Bombyx mori: one gene and its partner. Each later gene encodes a partner of the first gene's protein in a complex. Links are inferred from orthologs where the notes say so. Each region holds a gene or a part of one and is shown on either strand. Other genes may lie near its edges.

What was found.
Region 2: gamma-tubulin complex component 2 (region 1) and gamma-tubulin complex component 4 share a complex: the UniProt entries of both Homo sapiens proteins name them as parts of the gamma-tubulin ring complex. The link is inferred for Bombyx mori from reciprocal best matches to the Homo sapiens genes TUBGCP2 and TUBGCP4.

The regions. Positions count from the first base shown.
Region 1 is NC_085119.1:10,560,681-10,564,510, forward strand, and holds part of gamma-tubulin complex component 2, read left to right. Parts: coding exon 1-91; intron 92-753; coding exon 754-1,042; intron 1,043-1,380; coding exon 1,381-1,496; intron 1,497-2,071; coding exon 2,072-2,243; intron 2,244-3,830. UniProt on the Homo sapiens protein: Component of the gamma-tubulin ring complex (gTuRC) which mediates microtubule nucleation.
Region 2 is NC_085125.1:5,636,504-5,640,579, forward strand, and holds the end of gamma-tubulin complex component 4, read left to right. Parts: intron 1-568; coding exon 569-731; 3' UTR 732-765; intron 766-855; exon of another isoform or gene 856-2,137; intron 2,138-2,228; 3' UTR 2,229-3,372; downstream 3,373-4,076. Other genes in the region: uncharacterized protein LOC101745013, read right to left, coding at 3,419-3,530. UniProt on the Homo sapiens protein: Component of the gamma-tubulin ring complex (gTuRC) which mediates microtubule nucleation.

The DNA of each region.
Region 1 (3,830 bases):
ATACAAAGCGACAGAGTACCGAAATTTCTCGATAAGTTCACTGACATTATTCTTCGAACTGGAAAATATTTGAACGTTATCAGTCAGTGTGGTAAGTTTTAAATTTTGATAAAAAAAGGTTAAATGCTTTTATTTGATCATGTGACAGATAACCTTTGATAATGTTACACCTGAGATATCAATCTTTAATTAAATCCCAATTTATAGATAATGAAGTTCAATGACATCAAAGACAAAATAAGGTCAGCTATCTATTATTTCAGCTTATCACAATTGGTTCTACTATTTTATAGATATCTATGCGATCGTCATAAGATGAAATTTCAATAAATAATTAAACTAAATAAGTCTGGTTATAATCTATGCTCTAAAAAGTTTTGTATTTTTGGTACATAATAAAAAGTTTATTGAAAGGAAAGAACGCCTTAAGAAGTTTCACTTCAAAAAGCAATCCAATATGTAGGTATTCAATCGAATATCCTTTGTTAAAGCGTTGTCAAATGGACAAAAAAAAACAGTAACATAGTCTTTATTACAACTATGCCTAAAGTATATTTTTATTTTGTCACCTAGGAACATATTATCCCATATATGTAAATTACCATTCCATATTCACAGTTTCTGTTTTCGCGGCATATTTACGCAACACATACCCCGCGAATAAAGAGCTTTTAGTGTACATACTTATTGATCTTTTAACAGTGAAGTGTTGGAGTCGATCGCACATCGTTGGTAAATTTTGTTACGTTTCAGGAAAATCAATAAGCAAGACGAACACAGACGAAATAAAATACTCACTAAGAGAACAAAACTACGGTGCTATAATACAGAAGGCTTACGCTTTCGCAAGTAAATCATTGCTGGAGCTACTACTCAAAGAATACGATCTGATGGGTCGATTGAAGTCTGTCAAAAACTACTTCCTAATGAGCCAGGGCGATTTCATTGTGCAATTTATGGATGCGACCGATCAGGAGTTATCGAAGAAGATAGACGACATTATACCCTCCAAGTTGGAGTCACTTCTTGGACTTTGTCTTAGGTACAGTTTTATTTTTTTATTTTCCTATTTTGCAAACTTTACTAAAAAAAAAGCGCCTGTTTAATTTTACGTTTCCTTGTTACCCGGTTCGTTCCAAATTTGCTTTGTTAACTTTTGTATCTGTAAGACATTAGCTCCGAATTAAATAATTGTATTAATTGTGCAACAATCCAAACAGTGTTTTTTTCTTTTTTGCTAAATTTTGCAATTAAGATTTTTTAAGATTATCGCATCAGAATATTCTATTATATTATTCCCGCGGTCTTCTTTTTTGAGAACTGTACATAATGTATAGTTAGAATAAACAGCCTAGGTTAATGAAACTGTATTCTCTACAGGCTCTCCGCTGCCAGTCATGATCCATATAATGAAGACATGAGAGTTGAACTCCTTCCGTACGATCTGCAGTTCCAAATGTTCAAAATCCTATCCATAGAAACAGAAGAGGAGGAAGGTACCTATAATATTTAAAAATAGAGATAAATAAAATAAATATATAAATACTTGTATGAGAAACATCAAATTGTTTGCATTATTCGCGCGTTAGCCGTCGCACGTACATGGTTCTATGATATAAGTCATCCCTAAAGGGCCAAAAACGACTACTAAGTTTCACCACAATCGTATGTATAGCTTGGAAACGCATAGAGGACTAAACATACAAAACGTTTTTTGTTGTAAACCCGAATATAATATAAAAATGAAAATCACTGTTGAAATACTGCTACTATTAAAAATAATAAAAAAATTTATTGAAGAATTTACTTTATTCATTTAATTGCACAACATACAAAATGTATCTACTAGATTCATTTAAATTGTTTATTCTTAAGATAATTAATATGAATATTATGTTTGAAAAAAGTCGTAACATCAAAAGTTCCAGCAGATGTTCATTGTACGGTATAAAAATATTAGTTTTATTGTCGCTATAAAGAGAAAATAGGCGAATATGTTTGTTTTATATATATATCGAATAATATTATTTTTTCTATCTTGAATATTTATCTAAATTGTTTAATATTTCAGAATACAAACACAACAAAGATTGTCCTCCGTTGACTGGCATAGAGACATTCTCGTTCGGCATGGAGGTGAAGTGGCCGGTGTCCTTAGTGCTCAACCACAAGGCCATCGCTTGCTATCAGATGATATTCAGACATCTCTTCTATTGTAAGCACGTCGAGAGACTACTTTGCAAGTTTGTATTCCGTTTTAGATCTATACTATCATAAAACTGTAACAATAGTCTGTAAGTTTTACAAAGATATATTGACTAAAACAAAAAAAATGAACAATTCAAAAATCAATTGTCTATCAACTCGTGGCTACTGGTATACATAGCAGAGATTGTGCCATGAATCATACATGCCGCATAAATGTAGGACAAAATTAATTGCACAATAAATTAACAACATATTTTTATGAAATCAAACCTCAAAGTTATTCTTACAAAATTACCTTCCATTTTGTTAAGGTTGCTAAGCAATAATGGGCTCCGGTTTCAGAAGATATTTTATTTTAATAAAATTATTAATACTTCGGACCTCGTCTCTTGAGGTATACTGCGACGTTTCGGTCGCTGTATGTTACTCTACAAGCACAGTAACAAACAGGCTACGTGATATTCACAAGTGCTCCTCACGAGTGGCCCCAAACCTAATCTATGACTTTTGGTCCTCACCTATCTCACGGTCTTGTAGTCTTATTTTTTTAAACTTTTTTTTTGCCCTTGTAGGCAGACTAGCGTACGGTCCACCTGATGGTGAGTGATTACCGTCGCCCATGGACTTCAGCAATGCCAAGGGTAGAGCCAAGCCGCTGCCTACCGTTAGTCTCTCATGCTGTCTTCGATTTACTTAACTATCACAATAAAAAAAGTATATACTATCTATATGTAAAGATACTATATTTTTTATAGTACTTTTGTACAGCATTCTATAGCTCCTATGTAATCATATAGATGGCGCTGTCGATAATGGTGACATGCATTGCATATTGTAGGGTTGACGTCTGCCATGTTCGGACATATTGTTACTTTGTTGGTATTAAATTGCATAATTATTATAAGGAATTAAGAGTGGTGGATTTTAAATGTCGTTTCTTCGTTTTCACGTGAGATACCTATTATAGGTTTGCAATGTGATTGTACTGTTACTGTTACTGTTGTGTACTTTTTAAGTTATTAAAATAATAAAATCTTTGTTTTCAGAGCAACGCCATGCTTAGTTACTTAGTTTAGTTAAACTTACAATTCCTGTTTATAATTCCTAGTAAATTAAATAGAAAAAGTATTTTTTTAAGGGATTTTATGACCTGGTAACTAATACTTTTAAGTCATGTCTTATTTTAATTAATATTCTTAATTTTATGAAAAATGATAATATGGAATGAAATGAAATGAAGATGATTAATTTGAGACATTAATCAACTGGGATAAAATTAAATGAAATGAGATGATATGGGATGAAATATAATCTCAGTAAAATGGTGCCAGTCGTTTACTGAGATTTTTTTAGTGGACTTTTTGGAGGAACCCGAGAAGTTATGTCCAGCAGCTTTGTTTCATTTTCCCACATTTGTGCACTTTCACAGATATTAAACAGTTAATAAACCACCGTTATTACACATTTAAACCTGAAGAAACACTAAATAGACAAAATAAAACAAATCACACAACTTCACTCCTCGCGTTCCCGCCAAAAAGTCCCGGAAAAGTATTATATATATATATATATGTTTTCCGTGGCACAAAAGCTAATCGTTGTCGCTTGATCAATTTTCCCTC
Region 2 (4,076 bases), on another chromosome or scaffold:
GTTCCCGAGATTAGCACGTTCAAATAAACAAACTCTTCAGCTTTATAATATTAGTATAGATTAGATTAGAATAGTGTACATAGACAAAATTGAAGAAAAAAAGGCATGCATGTATTTTGTCCACAGTAAAATTTCAGTGTGCATTTCACAACAATTCAAAACAATTCTTCCTGTTTTTGCCACGTAACCGTCATGCGCTCCGATTCGAAGGGTGGGACATGCGCTATACATTTGAGGCTTCGACCTCATGCCTTAGGACGGGTGGCGACCTTCAAGTCCTAATTTGTCGACGTCCAGATAACCAGGAGACAGAGTTCGTTCTGGCCCCAACGGCCATCCGTTCTACGAGCAATGTGTCCTGCCCACTGCCACTTCAATTTCGCAATCCTTTGGCCTATGTCGGTTACCATGGTTTTCCAGCAAATCTCCTCATTTCTGATTTGATCCGGGGAAATTCCGAGCATAGAGCCCTCTCCATTGCTCTTTGGGTGACCTTGAGCCTTCTCATAGGGCCTATTGTGAGCGACCACGTCTCAGTGCCGCGATCCTTAATTAATATACTTTCTAGGTTCAACAAATTAGTGAAGCAACTAATGCAACTTCTAGTTTCGCTACGAGATCGTCCGTGCGGCGTTTACTTAGCGAGACTTCTGATGAGACTCGACTACAACCGGTGGCTCAGTAGAGAGGCGCAGTTAACGCAATCTGTAACGAACATGTTAAGATACTGATGAGGGTTTACTCACCACTCTCAACATCGGAACGGTAAGTTTAGTTGGATTCGTTTGCAGTTTTTCGTTAACTCTTTACCTCTTAGAGCTTTTTTTAAACTCATTCGTGCTTCACTTGTTTTAGCAGGAGTTAAGAAAACTTAGTGTTTTATTATAAAGAAAACAAGGTGAGGTTAATACAGTATCTATTTCGCATGTCACGGTGAGCATTTCTTTATAAGTGAGAAATCGGTTTACCTATCAAACGAAAGAGTAGAGGTTTTTTTACATAAGGGTTTATCTCCAATATTCCACAAAGATGACTCCCGGTAGCGTATTCCCATTTCCGTGTTCACTATGAGACAGTACTGCCATGAAAGACGCACGGGTTTATCGCGCTAACCGCCCTGACAAATCCGTGTTCAATTTAAAGCGCCCGTCCTGAAGGATTCGTAATTACGTGTTTAGGTATGGTAATGGTAAACAGTCGACGTCGCTCTAAACACGTCATTACGGATCCTCCCGACCCATTAACGGTGCTTTTAGGTACATACTACAAGCACCGGTCAACGTCCTCGCCGAACCCGTCGCTTGCGACGAACGGAGAGCCCTTCGTTGCAAGTACGAGTAAATTAACCCATAGACACATGCCACTGAGTTTCTCGCCGGATCTTCTCAGTGAGTCGCGTTTCCGATCCGGTAGTAGATTCTGCGAGGCACTGCTCTTGCTACCACTTCGATAAAGCGGCACGACACGAGAACCCTCTCATCGTGGCCGCCGGTAACTACATTCCCGATCCTGCGGAGAGAATGGAAAGCAGTCAACGTCGCCCCAAGCACGTCATCTCGGATCCTCCCGATCCACTAACGGTGCTTTTAGGTACCTCAAGCACCGGTCATCGTTCTTGTGGAACCCGTCGCTTGCGAAGAAGGGCTCGACGAGTAAATTAACCCTCAGACACAGCCCACCGAGTTTCTCGCCGGATCTTCTCGTGGGTCGAATGGGTCGCGTTTCCGATCCGGTGGTAGATTGAGCGAAGCACGGCTCTTGCTAGGGTTCGTGTTAGCAACGTCGTCAGGTTTGAGCCCCGTGAGCTCACCTACTAGTTAAGGTTACGCTGGAATAGCCTCTCAAGGCTACCAGCTTACGTAGGAAAAAAAAAAACTCTTGCTAGGGCCAGTGTTAGCAACACTCCGGTTTGAGCACCGTGAGCTCACCTACGCGTCAAGGAGAAGCTGAAATAGCCTCTCAAGGCTATCAGCATAGTTAGAAGAAAAAAAAAACAATTGCGCACGGGTTTACAAGGAGTATGCGCATTGATTAAGCGAGACAAATCCGTGTTTGTTTGAAGGAATTTTAATTAATGGGCAAGTTTGGTATTGTATTGTAGGCAATCAACGTAAGTAGTAACATAAACAAAAATAAAGAAGTCATTTTATAAAATATTTTTTTTTAGCAGGAGGCTCATTATCAATATTACGAGTAGATACAATATTATGAACACCTTTTCTTTTCAGTTTCTGACTTGGCTGGTCGTTCTCGAATCGAATTTTTCCACTGCATAGCAGATCTCTTTCTTTGCGGCGAGCGATCGATTTTGGTTGTACATGAATTTTTCGAGATTTTCATCGAAAAAATTTTCAACTACAAATGACATAATACTCGATGGAGTAAGAATAAGTAAGAGTTGTAAGAATGTTTGTATATGCAGCATTTGAATCATTTTCCAAGATATCAGTAATTCTTTGCCACTGAACTTTAATATTTTGAACAGCACAGTCAAAGTTTTCATTGTTGATAGTTATACCGTTTTCAGCTCGATTTATTGGAAGTTCAAAAGTATCTGGTATAGCAACATTTGGTGTAATGGAGCTATCTGGATCTGAGTCAGAGTTGGCTGTATTCATTATTTGTGCTTGGTTCAGCCGTAATATCTTTAAGGAATGACAGTGAAAACTGGTCACCCAGAGCTGATTTCGCAAATTGTTGACGATCATAGTCATTTAAATGTAGCGATGCGGTACCTAAGTACAGTTTCATGTTTCCTTTCTACAGCGCAAATATGTTTAAAAAATCGACCCCCAGCACCATACAGACAGATCAGTTTTCTCTTTCACAAAGTAGGTATTGTCATACGCGAACTTCATGGCTTAGTCCCGTGTCGCCTTGAACACGTGTTTAGAAGAGCATTTGGCATTGCAAACCTGTGCGCGATTGGAGGAGGCGCACTCTGAATTTAACAAGAGTTTGTAAAGGCTGTTAGCGCGACAAATCAGTGCGTGTTTATGGCAGTACTGCGTCATAGTGAACACGGAAATGGAAACACGCCTCCCGGTAGTAGGAGGGTTAAATTTTCATGTGATACGGTTTTTGGAGAATCCGTTATTAACAAGCTTTATGATATTTATTAGATTGTAGAAATTCGAATGATTTTATAGAGTATTATGCTTTTGACTCATTAACATTTTGATATCTGAATTAATTTCTAAAGAGAATGAACCCATATTTTTAAGTTTCAACTTAAAATAATTGCGTAAGTATCAGATGTTTAGTTTTATAATGGATTGAATTCTTACACCTTATTGTCACCATGTGTATTTATGTAATGAATGCCAAATGTATTATAAATTAATGATTTTAAAATAAAACTTGTAACATACATGATTCTGATTTCATTTTATTTAATTTATAAAAAACAGATTGATGTTTAATGGGACTCCATGAATGCTTTAATCAGTATGCATTTAGTCATGTGACATGAGCATGGTTGTGGGTGATCGACAGCTTCTGGATCCAGTAATGTCATCTGTAAATTGTATCTGAAAGAAAAAATGTAAATTAATAGTATCACCATGATTTGATTCTTTTTTTTTAAATTTTTTTTTATTGCCTTTGTAGGCAGACGAGCATACGGCCCACCTGATGGTGAGTGGTTACCGTCGCCCATGGACTTTAGCAATGCCAAGGTCAGAGCCAAGCCGCTGCCTACCGCTTAATACTCTCCACAAGCCTCGTTTGAAGAAGGACATGTCATAGCGCTCGGGAAACACCGTGGAGGGGAGCTCATTCCATAGCCGGATGGTACGTGGCAAAAAGATCTCTGGAAACGCACTGTGGATGACCGCAGTGGCTCCAGGTAGTATGGATGAACTCTACTCCGGTGGCGGGCGGTGCGATGGTAAAAAAAATCTTATTTAAAATTACGCTATTACATTTAGTTTGTTTTAATTTATTTTCAATATCGTTTTTATAAGTCATAATGAAAACAATTTGCATTTTTTCATCACAAAAGTTCTCAAAATATTTCTGTAGTAAAAACTAAACCTTTCTGGTGTGGATATCGTTAATGTGTGGAATACACTTGA